Rattus norvegicus: one gene and its partners. The protein of the gene in region 1 interacts with the protein of each later gene in a pairwise test. Links are inferred from orthologs where the notes say so. Each region holds a gene or a part of one and is shown on either strand. Other genes may lie near its edges. The genes, in order: Tsc22d1, Aplp1 and Ccdc90b.

Region 1 (5,427 bases):
CTACATCACCCAGATTAGGTCATCTTTCCCACAGTGCCTTAGGAGGACAAGCAGGTAACAGTATCTTTCAAAGCCTGAGATCAAACTTCCTAGGAAACAAGAAATGTGGGAGCCACAGCGCCTAACAAGAAATGATCATTAAGATTTTAGTAGCTCAAAAGAATAGCTTTAACTATTTCGTGGGATAACCAAATCTAAGCTGCTTTGCATAATCTTCTCAAAAGCACTTTATAAATAATAAAATCTACCTGGTAGCCCCGTCTATTTGTAATATACACTTACACTTTTATAACTATCGTGAACATTATGTTCATAACCTAGTCTGCCTCCCAACCACTCTGAAACCATTCTGTAAGATTCTTACCCTGGAAAACTTACCATGAATATGCACTTCTCACATGCAAATGGAAAGGCATATATATACATATGGACTAAGTGCACCCACACGTACTGCTGCTAAAGAGATCAACTTTGAACTGCCCGATGCCTGCAGAAGCACATGATCTTACCTCTCGTCCTCGCCATCCACCAGGGGTGTTGTCAGCGGTAGCACCTTCAACGGGAAGAGAGAAGCAGAGGCTGCTAGGCTGCTGCTACTCCCATCTGAGACTGCTGACACTCCCCCACTGTCACCACTGAGAGTCTGAGGTAAGCCGCCTGAGGAGGGCTCCGCTGGACGCCTGGTGTCTTCCATTTGGCTTCCAATTGCCTGAGCTAATGATTGTGTAGAGAACTGAGTAGAACTTAGCGGTATCTGTTGTGCCAAAGGCAAATTTATGTTAGTGGCTATCAATGGAGATTGACTAACACTTTGAACCAAACTGCCATTTTGGGTGGCTGGGGGTTGTGCTATATTCTGTGGTGGAACTAAGTTTGTTGGGACAGAAGACATTCCAGAAGGACCAGCTGAACTAACCTGACTTGTAACAGAAATGGTGCTAGCAGAGGGCAAAGGACTACCTGTGGGCAACTGGTGGGAAACAACTCCATGAGCCACTGCTTCCACTCCCTGTGTCTGGGGAGGCACCGCTACCATGGTACTCTGGGGTGCAATAACCAATTGCTGAGGAAGGCTTGGAGCACTGGTTTGAACGCCCTGATGAATGATCCCAGTTGGAGCAGGTAGGACTACTTGTGAAGATGGAGGAGCACCTTGCTGAACAACTGAAGGTGTAACTTGGGTAGAGGGTGGCTGTACTGCAGTGGGTATGTTTGCCTGCTGACCGATACTTGCAATCTGACCACCAGCTGGTACAGTAGACACTGCTGTTGGAGCCTGGCCAATGGGCTGCCCAGTCGCCCCTGCAGGTTGTGCTTGTACTGCTGTGGGCTGCACTGGCAGCTGGATCCCTTGTGGCTGAGCCACGGGAATCACTGACGCTCCTGTGCCTGTGGAACTGGACTGTCCAGAGGACATTGCCGCTTGGAATATTGGCTGCTGCTGTGCGTACTCTGAAGGAGGGTTTTGAGTTGCTGGCTGGCCATGGCCTGGGGCTATCTGCGTAGGAACCATTGGTTGCTGTTGCCCATATTGTAACTGCTGGGGTGGTGCCCCTGGAAGAGGAGTTTGCACGGGAGGAGCTGGCTGAGGATACGGCAGCTGGGGCTGAGCCAGACTGGAAATGGAAGGCTGTTGACCTACAGCTGACGTTACACCCACCACGTTGACAGGTGAAGGCTGGATACCAGTTGCTGCGCTCATAGTGGCTTGCAGAGGAACAGGTTGAAGATTTGGCTTCTGCTGAAAGCTCAATTCTTGAGGCTGTAGTTGTACCTGTGACATCTGTGACTGAGAAATACTCTGTGGACCAGGGCTACTGAAATCTAGCTGTTGGAGGGCCACGCCTTGAAGACCTGGTGGTGCTGGTGGTAGCGGCTGCTGCTGCTGCACCACCACAGTAGGGGCTCCCATCTCTCCGCTTCCCACACTCTCTGTGTAGTGACTCAGTGTGCTGACACTACTGCTCACGGAACTCCCACTAGTGCTCTCCCTCTCCGAAGAGGACGCTTCCGTGGGGGTTTGCTTCACGGTCTCCACCACTTTATTTATGGCCACGCCTTCTGGACCTGGCACAGCATTTTCTCTCTCATAGAATTCAGTGCAAGTCCATCTGCCTTTTTTAAAGGGTTCAGAAGTAGAGTCTAACTTCACAACTCTGAACCTTGATGTGTTAACTGTTGGCGGCGGCTGCTGCGGCTGCTGCTGCTGACTTGAAACCACTCCCACCGTGATACCTGCAGCTGCGTTAAGGACAGGAGAAGAAATGGTACCGTTGCCCATGCCACTCAAGACATTCACATTAACACCGCTGGTAACTCCAGGCCCACCACTTATACTAACAGCATTGGGATGCACGCTGTTCGCCACACCGGGACTGAAACCACCCACAGCAGCAATGTTAACATTATTCGTTGCATTCGTGCCGGTAACTGAATTTACACCTATGCTGCCTGGAGTGCTTGGAGCACGGATGCTCGTCATCACTGAGGCAGGTAAGCCAGCCGATGATACAGCAGAAGTAGGTGGGACTGGCACACCACCGTCAGAACTTCCAGCTGTAGAGAGTTTCCTGGACACGGGGCTCGTGGGTGGTGGCCCTCCAGGAACGGATGTACTGGCCACAGCAGCATGTGATGAATGGTGGTGTCCGTGGTGAAGGTGGTGCCCATGATGAATGTGATGGTGGTGATGGAGGTGGTGTGGATGAGCGTTCCCATTGATCACAACGTTCTGTTGTGGAAGGTGAGGCAAATGAGGCTGAGGAAGGTGGGGCTGGTTAGGAGAGACTGCCCCAGGTGTCTCAGCTTCCTGGAAGTTATTCAGAGTCTCCTCGGAGGAACTGCGTTCAGGCTCACCTAAGTCAGTGGCCCTGGAAAGGGAGACATCAAGGATCTCGGAAGAAGAGAGATCTTCCGTGTGCGACTCATCCAGGTCATCATAGCTCTCGGTGTCCTCTGCTATGCTGTTGTTCGAGCTGATGCTGGCAGAGATCTGAGCCGGAGTAACGCTAGTTATCTGGAAGCCACTTTTCTTTTTCATCTGAGTTCCGCCTGGCGCAAGAGGCTGTCCCTGCAGCTGAGCCTGTGAAAGGAGGTTCAGGCTTTGTGGAGGCGGAGGCTGTGGTCCCTGTGTGGAAGATGCAGCAGGAGGCGGCGGCTGGAGCAGCGAAGAAGGAGGAGGAAAATCTTCAGAAGATGGAGCAGCACCACTGACGCCGGTACCTGCTGCACTGAGAGCAGAGGCGCTGCCACCACCGCTGCCCCTTCGAGGGAACATTGCCGGGTGCGCCATCTTCCTAGCACTAATGTCTGCAGCAGCGGCCGCCGCGGCGGTGGACTCTGGCGGCTGGTGCATTGTGCTGGGTACCGGGGGGCGGAGGAGGCGAGTGCAATTTCCTTCTGCACCGTAATCTTTGTATGGAGAAGCCGGAGAGGCGAACAGGACCTGAAGCTCCGCCCGACGCGATCCCTCCTCCTCCTCCTCTGCCGAAGGCGCCGGCTGCTCGTGCCTTCGAGGGCTAGCTTCGGGAAGGGAGGATGAACCGGGTGAACCAGGTGGCTGGGGAACCGAAGGGGGACCCCTTCAGTCCTTCGCCATTCACTTTCCCCTCCAGTCACACACCCCCCTTTATATTCCGCTTCACGTGGGGTGCGGGGCGGGAGGGAGGGGAGCCCAGGAGGGGGCGGGGGAGGCGAGGAGAAGCGAGAAATGCCCACCTTCTTTGGCCAACTCCGGAGCCAGCTCAACCCCCTCCTCCCGCGGCGGCGGCCGCTGCAAAGCCCCTCCGCTCGCCCTGCACCGAGGCAGCGCGGAGCGAGCGGTCGCCCGGCCCTCGCCACCCCCGGCGCCGCGGCCGCCGGCGAGCCCTGAGCTCAGCGTCGCTCCAACCTCCCTTGCCGGCGCGGCCGGCCCCGCTCGGGCCTCCCCCCGCGGCCCGCGGCCCCTCTCAAACCCCCTGGGCTCGCGACGGCTGCTCCGGGAGGAAAGGCTGACCGCGACTGGGGCCCGGGCGGCGCGGCTGCGAGCGGGGCGGCGGCGGGGCGCCGGGTACGGTGAGCCCAGCAACGAGGCGAGGGCGGGCGCGCAGAGACGCCGGGTCCTCGCGGAGCGCGGCCGGGGCGCGGCGGCGGCGGTGGCGGCGGCAGCGGGAGCCCAGGGACCGCTCCATCACTGGCAGCCATGGAGCCCGAGCATTTTCCTCTCTCGGGGCAGGCGCTCGGCTCGGCACACGTCCTCTGAGAGGAAGGGCGCCGGCGCCCAGGCTGCTCCGGCGGGTGGCGGGACGTGCGCGGGAGCGGAGGGGCGAGCTCGCGTCCTCTTCTCAGCCCGCCGGCTGGCTCGGCACCGAGCTGCTCCCGCGACCGGGAGGGAGGGGGCCGCGGGCGGCGGTGGCTCCTTTTCGCGGCGGCGGCGACGGCCAGACGGGGCTGGTGCAGCGGCTGCAGCCGACGCCGTTCAAAGAAATGAGAGGTGGGGTTGGTCGGTGGCGGCGCGGGGCGGAGGAGTGGGAGGGCGTCGGGCGAGGAGGGGGCTGTGGTGGTTGTTACTAGTGCTCTTCTCGGGCTGCTCCGTATCCCCTGGTCTCTCGCGGCATCAAGAGAGGAGGGACCAGCGCCCCAGCGCGAGAGGAGGAGGGTCGAGCTCTGACCGAAGAGAAGGAGGAGGAGGAGGAGGGGGAGGAGGAGGAGGAGGAGGAGAAGGCGGGGGGGAGGGGTCGCGGAGGAGAAGAGGGAAGATGGCGTCTGCGCGTGCGCGCCGGCGCTGCAGACATAAAGCTGGGTCTGACTAGGGGAGGTGGCCTGTCTTCGGTCCGTGCCGAGCTCTCGGCTCCGTCTCCACGGAAATTGCCGAAGGCCGGCGGAGCCGCCGACGCCTGAGGGCGGTGGGGGTGGGGCACTCGGGCGCGCGAGCGAATCCGGGTCGCGTGGAGAAGCTAGGGTGGGGCGTGGGGGCCACGCCGCGCGCGTGCGCGCAGGTTAGGCGTGTCCGCTGCTGTCTCCCACGCGGACCCCGGCGAGGCGGGTGAGGAGCGATAGGTCTCGGGTGTGCGCGCCCTGGGGCGGTGTCCCCCCGGCCTGCTGAATGGGTAATAAGGCTTTTCTCCTCAGCAACAGCATCACGAGTTGCAGCTCCCAGGAGCCCTCCGCTGCTGCCACGACATGAGTCAGGCTTTCTTCCTCGGCGCGTGGCGGAGCCTTCCTCCTCCTCCTCCTCCTTCCCCTCCTCCTTCTCCAAGCAGTACCTGGGTTCCCCCTCGACCCGCACCGCCCTCGCCCCTTCCGGGGATGCCCCGATGGAGTCGGGTGCCTTCCCCCACAGCAGTGGTACCTTTTGTGCAGAGCGGTGGTGGCTGCCACGCGGTCCTTCGCCCTTCGACGGGCAGGGGCGAGGCTGCTAGCAGATGGCACGGATGTTTGCAGTGAATC
Region 2 (4,705 bases), on another chromosome or scaffold:
CCCCTTGTGTCCCCAAACCCTTTCCAGTCCCTCCATCCTTAGCCCCCAGTTTCTTGATGTGGGAACACTGCCCCCAAAGCTTGCCCACACACACACATTCAAACGTGGGCATGAGTCCACACCTCTCATACCATGCTTTTTTTTTTTTTTTTTTTTTTTTTGGTTCTTTTTTTCGGAGCTGGGGACCGAACCCAGGGCCTTGCGCTTCCTAGGCAAGCGCTCTACCACTGAGCTAAATCCCCAGCCCCAATACCATGCTTTTGACCCCCCTTCCAGTCCCTTGGAATCCTACTTCCTGTCTCTCAGATTCCTGTTTCCTCTCCCTTGGATTTTACTTCTCTTCCCAGAATCCTTTCCCTTGAGCCTGGAGCTTGTCCTTCAACCTTCCTCCCTAGCCCCGCTTGCTTTCCCTGGAGCCCCTGCTGTATGCACTCAGATTCTACTTCTGGTTTCTTGGACATTCTCTTTTGATCCACAGATGCTCTCCCCTGTACTTCTGAATAGCAAGCCTTGCCCATAAGCCATTACGACTCCTTTATGAATCCTCTAGACCGATTCCCATCTCCCCACAACCCCACATGTGTTCCTCCAGCCCTCTTGCTTTCTCCCTCTGACCCATGAGTCTTCTCCTCCATTGGTGTGTTCTCTCTCTCTCTCTCTCTCTCTCTCTCTCTCTCTCTCTCTCTCTCCTGTTTTTGCTTTTGGAGAGAGGGTCTCACTATATAATAGCCCTGTTTCCTTGGCCTGGAGCTTGCTACGTAGACCAGACTGTCCTTGAACTCACAGAGATCTATCTGCCTTTACTTCCCAAACGCTACTATTAAAGGCATGCACCACCACGCCCAGTTCTAAACCATATTCTTTGTATCCTCCTGTCTTCTTGCCTCCGGTACTGTTTTCCTCTGTCCAAGCCTTAAACTTCTGGTCTTATACACATCTCTTCCTTCTCTCTGGATCCTGCTTCTCCTGCCTCAGTTTCCTTCCTCTGTGGTTGGGTGTCTGACCCTTGTGCCTTACTCCCTGTCCATGCTCCATGGTCTATTTCCATGGTGCCTGTTGAACTCCTTTTCATCTCATTCTTCTCCAGCCCGCACTGCCTGCTTCATCCCTCGTACTCACTCCCCACAGGTCCAGACCCACCTTCAGGTGGTTCAAGAACGAATGAATCAGAGCCTGGGGCTGCTCGACCAGAACCCTCACCTGGCTCAGGAGCTGCGGCCACAGATCCGTGAGTGCCCGTTACCTGTGTCCTGAACTTCAGTTCTCCGAGGGTGGACTTTGACTCCCAACCCTCAATTTCCCAGTCTTCATTTAAATCACCGTACAACTCGGTAGTTCAGAGTAAGGGCCAGGTTTTTTGTTTTTATCCAATTAATTTGAATCAGTGTCCTCTGATCTGGATTTGTTTCTTTTGGTGGTATGGCTAGTAATCTATTAGTTGTACAGATTGATTTTAATCATGGCTTGTTTTTGTTCTTGTTGTTTGTTTTGAGACAGGGTCTTACTTTGTAACACTGACTGGTCTGAAACTCACTATGTTAGACCAGGCTAACCTTGCACTTTGAGCAATCCTTCTGCCTCCGCCTTCCAAGTGCTTGTGCCCCATCACCTGGCTAGATGATTTTTTTTATGGCATCAGGGATGGAATCAGGACTGTGAGCCCTGATAGGCAAGTGCCTCACCATCCCACATCCCCAGCCTTTGGCTTTTTTTTTTTTCCGGAGCTGGGGTCCGAACCCGGGGCCTTGAAGCTTGCTAGGCAAGCGCTCTACCACTGAGCTAAATCCCCAACCCCCAGCCTTTGGCTTTTTAAGACCAGGTTTTGTTCTGTAACTGAGGCTGGCCTGGAACCATGTAGCTCAGACCAGCCCTTAAATTCACAGTCCTCCTGCCTCTGTTTCCCCAGTGTCAGGATACAGCCATACATTGGCCCTACCCTCTTCAAAAAAATTGTGTAGTGTCAAGTGTGGTGGTACACACACTTCAATCCCAGCACTTGGAAGGTGGAGGCAGGCCGATCTCTGAGTTTGAGGCTAGCCTGCTCTCCAGAGCCAGTTTCAGAACACACAGAGGAAACCCTGTCTCAAAAGAGAAGAAAATTGGGTAGTCCTGGGGACTAAACCCAGGACCTTTTATATGCTTGGCGTGTACACCACTGAGCTACAACCCTGGGTTATTGAGTCTAGGTTCTATTGGTTAGAACAAGTCCCAAGTTAAATCTGGATTCAACAGAGGGAGCCTACACAAGAGAGACAAGACCAGGAAGTATCAGCCTGCACAGTCCCAGGCTACTGTGATTTCCTTCCAGACAGTCCATGCCTCGGTCCAAACCTACTTGAAGAGAGGATACAGCAGATCCAGCCTCCATCCTTCCTGCTAGAGCACCTTGCATGCTTCTGCCGTCTCTCTAATCTCCTGTCCGTTCCGCTGTGAGGGTGCCCTGCCCTTGCCCTGCTGTGACCGTCATACACTCACTGCCATAGTCATCTTTCTGTGTGTCCCCTCAGAGGAGCTTCTCCATGCGGAACACTTGGGACCTAGTGAACTGGAAGCCTCTGTGCCCGGGAGCAGCAGTGAGGACAAAGGTAGCCTTCAGCCTCCTGAATCCAAGGATGGTGAGCGAATACAGAGTCCCTCCCACCTTTGAGCGTCAAGCCTCTTCCCCTTGCAATGCCAGATTCCTTGCCTTAAAGGAAGAAGCTGCTGGGGAGCCCAGGACTTTGTGCATGCTGGCAAAGAGAAGAGAGTTCTTCCACTCAGCACTCAGCGCTAGCCTTAGCTACCCCCTCCCCTTTTATTTTTTTTAGACAGTCTAAGTAGCCCAGGCAGACCTTGAACTCAATATCTGGAGTAGCTCAGATCACAGGCATGTGTCACTAGGCCTAACTCAGTCCTTAGATTGTTAGGACAGGGTCCCACTCTATAGCTCAGGCTAGACTAGAACTCACTATTTAGCCTCGGGTGGCCTCAGACTCGTGATCTTCTTGTGTAAGCTTTCTAAGTGCTGAGTTCATAGACTGTGTAGTACCATAGCCAGCATACAGCCTTCTTTCCAATTCTCTAAGGTCTGGGGGTATCTGTGCCACCACAGCAGGTGGGAAGGAATAAGGAAGGATATCTGGGGGGTATTGGGCCTCTGTGGGGTCGTTGGCCCTGGTGGGGTTCTCTACTCTTTCTTTCTCTTCACTGTTTCACCTTTCATCTTGTCTCCTGTGCTAGCAGATGCCCCAGTGACCCTTCCAAAAGGTAAGTGTCACACGGCATAGACCCCGACCACCAAATACCACTGAACCCTAAACCATGAGGGGAAAGGGCTGCATGCCGCAGGAAGCCCATGCCGCCTGAGTGGAATCCAGCGCCCTTTCTGATGTGACTTGGGGTGGGGTAGGGTCCACAGATCAAGAGTCTTCCTCCTCTGGGAGAGAGAAGCTAACCCCACTGGAGCAATATGAGCAAAAGGTGAGTGGGTGTCTGGACCCTGGGTGGAGGGAAGGTTCTGGAGGCTTGGATTCCTCAGCTTCGGGAAGGAGCTTGCTGGGACATGGACTTAGTGTTGTTGGACTGGGAGGTACCCTTCTAGGCCCCGGGGTCTGTGACATCTCCTGACATCTCCTGCTTCCCAGGTGAATGCATCTGCCCCAAGGGGGTTTCCCTTCCACTCATCAGATATTCAGCGGGATGAACTGGTAAGAAGAGGCAGATCCTGGGGGCGAGGTCAGAGGTCAGCGTCTAGGCCGTGACCTCCAAAGCCACAGTGGATCCTGGTGAGCCTCAAAGAAACTCTTGGTTCCGCCTCCTTTCTCCACAGGCACCAGCTGGGACTGGAGTGTCCCGAGAGGCCTTGTCAGGTCTGCTGATCATGGGAGCTGGAGGAGGCTCCCTCATTGTCCTATCCTTGCTGCTTCTGCGCAAGAAGAAACCCTATGGCACTATCAGCCATGGAGTGGTGGAGGTGAGGGGCAGACATCGCGGTGGGGGCGGAGTTAAAAGCAGCTCTGCTCCCACGCGCTGAGCCCTTCCCTCGGCCCTGTTGCAGGTGGACCCCATGCTGACCCTGGAGGAGCAGCAGCTCCGGGAACTTCAGAGGCATGGCTATGAGAACCCCACCTACCGCTTCCTGGAAGAACGACCTTGACCCCAACCCTAGCTGCCTTCAGCTGAACCCTACTGCCCTTCTTCCGGTCCCCTAATCCCAACTCCCAGCTTCCGGTGGGGGAGGGAGATCTTGACAAATTCATTCCAAATTCCACCCCCTTAGAAATTCCCAGTTCCTGCCCCACCAGGGACCTTCTCACCTTAATTTATTTTACGTTAATTTATTGCTCCTTAAGGTGACCACCATCTGGGTCCCAGTGTATGTCACCCCCTGGAATTCACCGTCCCACGTTTCTTCACTAACATCCCAATAAAGTCCTCTTCCCCACCCGGCCATCCCGTGTTTCTGTTGGAGAAACTGTGTGTAAGCACAAGCACTTCTTGAAGGTTTTTAAACTGAGTGAGGGGTGTGTGTGTGTGCTGCGTGCGTGTGTGTGGGCACAAAATTTTAATCTCAGCACGCAGGAGGCGGAGGCAGGCAGATGTCTGTGAGTTTCAGACTAGTCTGGACTCTGTTCTACTTAAGAGTTCCAGAACAGCCTAGAATCAAAAACCCAAACAACAAAACCCAAACAAACCTGGACTGAACCTGGGTGAGGCTGTTTTAAAC
Region 3 (5,264 bases), on another chromosome or scaffold:
TTAAGAGGCAGACTCAGCAGGACCAAAGCACATGGGTTGTTTTCTCCTTTCCCCATAGCCCCAATGAATTGAGACTCTGTCCCTTGTTGACCCAAAAGCAGCTATGGTTCTGATTTAGTTCTCAAACATTTTCATCCTATTTCTTTCTTCCTATGGTGAGCCAGCAAAGTATGTGGTGGCTATTTAAACCTAGCTAGTATGAGCAGGATTTGTTGGCCCCAAGAATCTGCTGAGATCAGATCAGGCTAGTCAGAAGTATGGCACGGATAGCTGGGGATGAGTTGGAAAAGTGCTTGCCTAGTTTAATATCCAGCATCACATCAAATATGGCATGAGTACATGCTCATTTTATGTCTAGCACTTGGGAGGGTCAAGGTGATTCTTGGTTTGTCAATCTGGATAGAGAACTCAGATGTAAGAGATCTGGAGAGATGGCTCAGTGTATAAAGAACACTGTATTTGCCTCTCTAGCGCTCCTGTAAACATGGGCAGACAGCCTGTGTCTGTAATCCAGTGCTGGGGGCAGAACAGATAGATTCCTGAGGTTTGTCAAGTTAGCTGAAAGGGTAAGCCTCAAGTCTGGGGAGTGAAAAGGGGAAGGGGAAGAAAAGGGGACAGAAACAGGTGGGTTGGAGGAGGGGGGAGAGGAGAGACTCTGTTTCAAAAAGTAAGATACAGAATGAATGAGGAAGACACCCAAAGGTGATGTTTGGCCACCATATGAATACATATGTAACTCATACACATACACAAACAAAGAGGAAAAAAGGAAGAGGGAAATGTGAAGACTAGATAACAACAAAAGGAGGCAAGCAAAACAAATGTGAATAACCTTTTTTTAGTTCTGGTTAGGAGGTTTCAATCCCCAACTATGAGATGGTACTATGTATTATGGTACACACACACAGACATACACACACAACCCAAGAGATGTTTGAATTTAAATGAGTCATTGGGAAAGTCTGTTTCATATAGATGGGTAATGTGACATAATTCAGGAGGTGAGGATAATTTCTGGGGAACAGAGGGTGGTTGGCAGACACCTAATCAGCCAACATACACTAAGTTTTAGGTTCAGTCCTTGGTAGCAAACAAACAAACCACCACAAAATCTACCCCTCAAATTCTACACATATGAAAAATTAAAAAGATACATGTAATCAGAAAAACTATACATTTCATTTTAAGTATAACACATTTAAATGGGATTCACATTATTTTAAACTTATTATTCACTACAAAAAAAACTCCACTTACATAGGAAGTCACTTTGAAAAATCAACCAACTTTGTTATAGTATTTTATTTTATATAAAAATCTAATTGCAATAATAACCAAGAAAATAAAATCCAGCAAGTGTATAGACTACAGAACTGTTTACAAGAATGTAATCTGATAACAAATCCTATTTCACTTACAAAGGTCAAATGCAAAACTTTTTATTGCTATAGTTGTCAGAGGATAAGGACCAAGTGCACTTCTATCTCAAGCCAGGCTTTGAGTTAGAGCTTTTCAACATAAAGATGTACAACATAAAAATAAAATACCAAAACACTCCATTTAGTCTACAAGTTCTTTGAAGAGTTTGTAGTAAGTACATTCTATGGAGTGACCAGCAGCAGCAACAGGAGGGTCAGTTCTCCTTCCAGAACCTATAAAACCCCAGTGCTATCGCCAAGCAAGTGAACACCGAGGCTGTGAAAAGAAACAAACTATGTTACAAGCCATAGCTTAATTATTTCAGACAATAAAAAAAAAAATGAACAGAAACAGAAAATCAAACTTTTATCTCATGTTCTTTTTCCCAAGAAAATTAAACTAAGAATAAAAGGCATTTGTAAAGGCAATAGTTACATCAATAGCTTTCTATATTTTAGAGATCAAAACAAAAATAATTAAAAAAATATAAATGTCATGTCAGAAAATGTAAGCAGTGCTTCAAAGTTACTAACACAAGGTCTTAGGAGTTCTGTTGTTGTGATAAACACCATGAGCAAAACAGCTTGGGGAGGAAAGGGTTCAACAACTCTCAGTCACACCCAATCACTGCAGGAAGACAGGGCAGGAACTTAAGGCAGGAACCAGAGAAGGAACTGAAGCAAAACCAGTGTTGCTGACTGTCTCACTCAGCCTGTTTTCAGCCTATCTAGAGGTAGTGCCACCCACATCAGACTGAGTTCTTCTCTCAGTCATTAAGACAATTCCCCACAGCCTTGTCTACAGACTGACCGTATGAGGTGTTTCCACAGTTGAGGTTTTGACATGTACCCATACTTCCAGACACTTGGGAGACTAAGCCTAGAAGGTTTGGGCAAATTGACAGCCAAACCCTACCATGTCTGCTGTTTGTAAATCTTTAAGAAAGGGAATCTTACTGTCTTATAACAACATCTCAGGTATTCTAGAACAAATAGATCCATATATGCTTTATCTTCCTACTTATTTAAAAATGTGTAACTGTGGCTTCCTAAACTGCTCACTGGCAACAACAGTACTAAAATATACTTAAAGGAGGAAGGAGAAGATGCTTCAATATTACTGGTTCCAAATGCTCAGCAAAACAAAAGGATGACTTAAGAAAGTCTATTTTTATGTGTATGGGTGTTATACCTACATTTATGTCAGTTCACCATGTGTATGTCAGGTACCTGTGGAAGCCAGAAGAGGGGACAGGATCCTGGAGTCACAGATGGTTGTGAGTCTCCATATGGGTGCTGAGAATCAAACCTTGGTCCTTTAGAACAACAACCAGTGCTCTCAGCCATTAAGCCTTCTCTCTAGACCCAGCAAAATCTTTTTTAAAACAATTGCTAACTTGTGTATTTCTTTTGCTATTACCACTAAGTCTATTAGATTTGCCTTGTATATCTATGAACTGCTAAAAGAAAGTTTTCTGGAAAATGCCACCATCTTCAATTTGGAGGGTAAAAAAGTATTTTGTGGTGTTATCCCTACCCCTACCACAGGATCCCTCTGTGTAGCCCTGACTGGGAATTCACTCTGTAGACCAAGCTGGCCTTGAACTCAGAGATCTGCCTGTCTCTGCTTCCTGAGTGCTGGGATTAAAAGTACCCAGCAGTATTTTGTTTGTTTTTAACTGTGGTATTCTTTAGGTAAATACTCAGGAGAATATAGGGAAATACCAGATAGAATCTGAAACTATTTCTTTGTTGCTTTGAGACTGATTGTGGAAGAGAATGAACATTCCAAATGCCTGTTTTAGAATTTCCTTTAGCATTACAGTTGAACTCAAGACCTTTGGTTCTACAGACTTTGTCAATGTAGGGGTTTTCAAAGCCTAACTTTAGATTTTTTTTTTAAATCTGAATTTTAAACATGAACCTAATGTTAGAAATAAAAATAGAGCCCTTAAATTAAAAAATAAGGGGATATACATCAGTTGAGGACTGAGACACATTCATCTTCTAACGTGCCACATCACAAATAGTGGGTGGCCAGAAAACCACTATGATGAGGAATTTTATTTATATAGTCATTTGTTGATACACACATTTAAAATAGGTATATCTTTTGACCCCCAGGTTTTTGTTTTGTTTCTGCCTCCCAAGTGCTGGGATTAAAGGCATGTGCCACCATGCCTGGTGTTACTCCAAATTTTAAATGTGTACAGCAACATGGGTATAGAATGTGTGTATTTAGTGAACATGCACATATATGTTCAGTAGTACTGCTCTTAAGGATGAAGAAATGAAAGCAACACTGCTGGGGAAGTTCGCATGTTGATACCTCAAAATACTATGGTTAGTAATAAAAAGATGTTAAACACTTAATGTTTAAGTACACCTCTAACACTTAGTTACATTTAACACAAGGAGTTAACTAAAACGGAAAAATCTTTTTTATAACTGTATCTTACCTGTATACAGAAGACAACATATAAACTAATACTAAATTAAGAGGGTGAGGGGATTTTCATTGCTCTTGAATTTAAATTAAAACATACTGCTTTAGACAAGTAATATTTAATAAATACATTCTTCCTGTCACATGAGCCATAAAAATCTTAGGTCAGACTGAAGTTGTGGAGCTCAGTGTGAGCCAATCTAAGTACGGGACAGTGTCTATGTGCTCACTTGGTCCAAGGTAAGAAGTTTCCTTACCCTCCACTGCTCTCCTTTTGCTATGTTTTTTAACAGCCCATATCTACTTTTGTGATCTTTCTAATCCTTTCAAACCTTTCCAATAAAATGACATTTTTCATTGTGGAATTTACACAATTAATTTTACCATATTGTTCTTGGGTTTATTTATCTTCTTGATAACCAGACTCCTTTTTCTATCAGTAAAACTGCACAGCTGCTTGCTACTCCAATCTTGAAACTGGTACCTTCTTCAAGGAAAACAGGGTACCAAGCAACGAAGGAGAATTTCTAGCTCCTTTTTATCTCTGTCCTGGCATGGTTATTCTGAGAGTAGGAACCAATAGATCCAAACATTCACTCCGACAGACAGCCTTACCTGCAAGATAACGAATTGTCTCAAGTTTGCTCGACTCCATCAGTGTTTTTAAGGAAGCGATTTCAGTGTCAATTTTATTACTGGTCTCTGAAATAATACTTTTAGTTTGCATATCCTGTAGCAAATCAGAAAAAGCAAAGAATTAAGGTTTTATCCCTATATATTATGGACAAAAACATTTATATTAAAACCTAAAACTGTGTGCTAATGGTGCATTTAAAAAAGTCTTAGTAGTAATGAGTACTGCCAAGTGACAAAACATTCCTCCAATTTCATATTGGGAAATAATTTTCTTGAATCATTCAATATTGGACACAGTCTACTAAAAATCTCTTAGGGTATTCAAAACCTAACTATATATGATAACCTAAGAAGCAAACGTTTTAGTCCCAGAACTAACACTTTTGTATGTAAAGTCTTTGGAATATTATTAACCTTTCAAACATAAAAAAGACAACTTTTAAATATATTCTGCCATAAATACCAACCAAATTGGTACCAAGCTGGGGGGTAACTTTGCATGCACAGGGGACAAAGCTCAGAAATGGGTTGATGTGAATTTGCTCATTTCCTTGTTTATCTACTTTCTCTGGCCAAGGAGTCAAAGAAAATGGGTTCTTCAAAGAGCACAGGTGATTCTTCCTTACTAAATCCTGAGCAAGAGAACTTTTAAGAAAAGGATGAGGCTAAATCAGAAAGCTGGGGTTTACTTACTAATGACTTCTTATAGGGTTATTAAGCATATAAACAGGACTTCTCAGTACTGGGTTTCCAGTCTGGGTTCT

What was found.
Region 2: the proteins of Tsc22d1 (region 1) and Aplp1 interact in a two-hybrid assay, tested with the Homo sapiens proteins (2 studies listed by BioGRID and IntAct). The link is inferred for Rattus norvegicus from reciprocal best matches to the Homo sapiens genes TSC22D1 and APLP1.
Region 3: the proteins of Tsc22d1 (region 1) and Ccdc90b interact in a two-hybrid assay, tested with the Homo sapiens proteins (2 studies listed by BioGRID and IntAct). The link is inferred for Rattus norvegicus from reciprocal best matches to the Homo sapiens genes TSC22D1 and CCDC90B.

Annotation. Positions count from the first base shown.
Region 1 is NC_086033.1:58,158,043-58,163,469, reverse strand, and holds the start of Tsc22d1 (TSC22 domain family protein 1), read right to left. Parts: upstream 3,693-5,427; 5' UTR 3,356-3,692; coding exon 510-3,355; intron 1-509. UniProt on the Homo sapiens protein: Transcriptional repressor. Acts on the C-type natriuretic peptide (CNP) promoter. Acts to promote CASP3-mediated apoptosis.
Region 2 is NC_086019.1:94,824,056-94,828,760, reverse strand, and holds the end of Aplp1 (amyloid beta precursor like protein 1 isoform 1 precursor), read left to right. Parts: intron 1-1,128; coding exon 1,129-1,228; intron 1,229-2,507; coding exon 2,508-2,615; intron 2,616-3,219; coding exon of another isoform or gene 3,220-3,222; coding exon 3,223-3,246; intron 3,247-3,388; coding exon 3,389-3,459; intron 3,460-3,623; coding exon 3,624-3,686; intron 3,687-3,808; coding exon 3,809-3,952; intron 3,953-4,034; exon of another isoform or gene 4,035-4,036; coding exon 4,037-4,135; 3' UTR 4,136-4,431; downstream 4,432-4,705. UniProt on the Homo sapiens protein: May play a role in postsynaptic function. The C-terminal gamma-secretase processed fragment, ALID1, activates transcription activation through APBB1 (Fe65) binding. Couples to JIP signal transduction through C-terminal binding.
Region 3 is NC_086019.1:156,054,774-156,060,037, reverse strand, and holds the end of Ccdc90b (coiled-coil domain-containing protein 90B, mitochondrial precursor), read right to left. Parts: intron 4,595-5,264; coding exon 4,480-4,594; intron 1,696-4,479; coding exon 1,634-1,695; 3' UTR 1,288-1,633; downstream 1-1,287.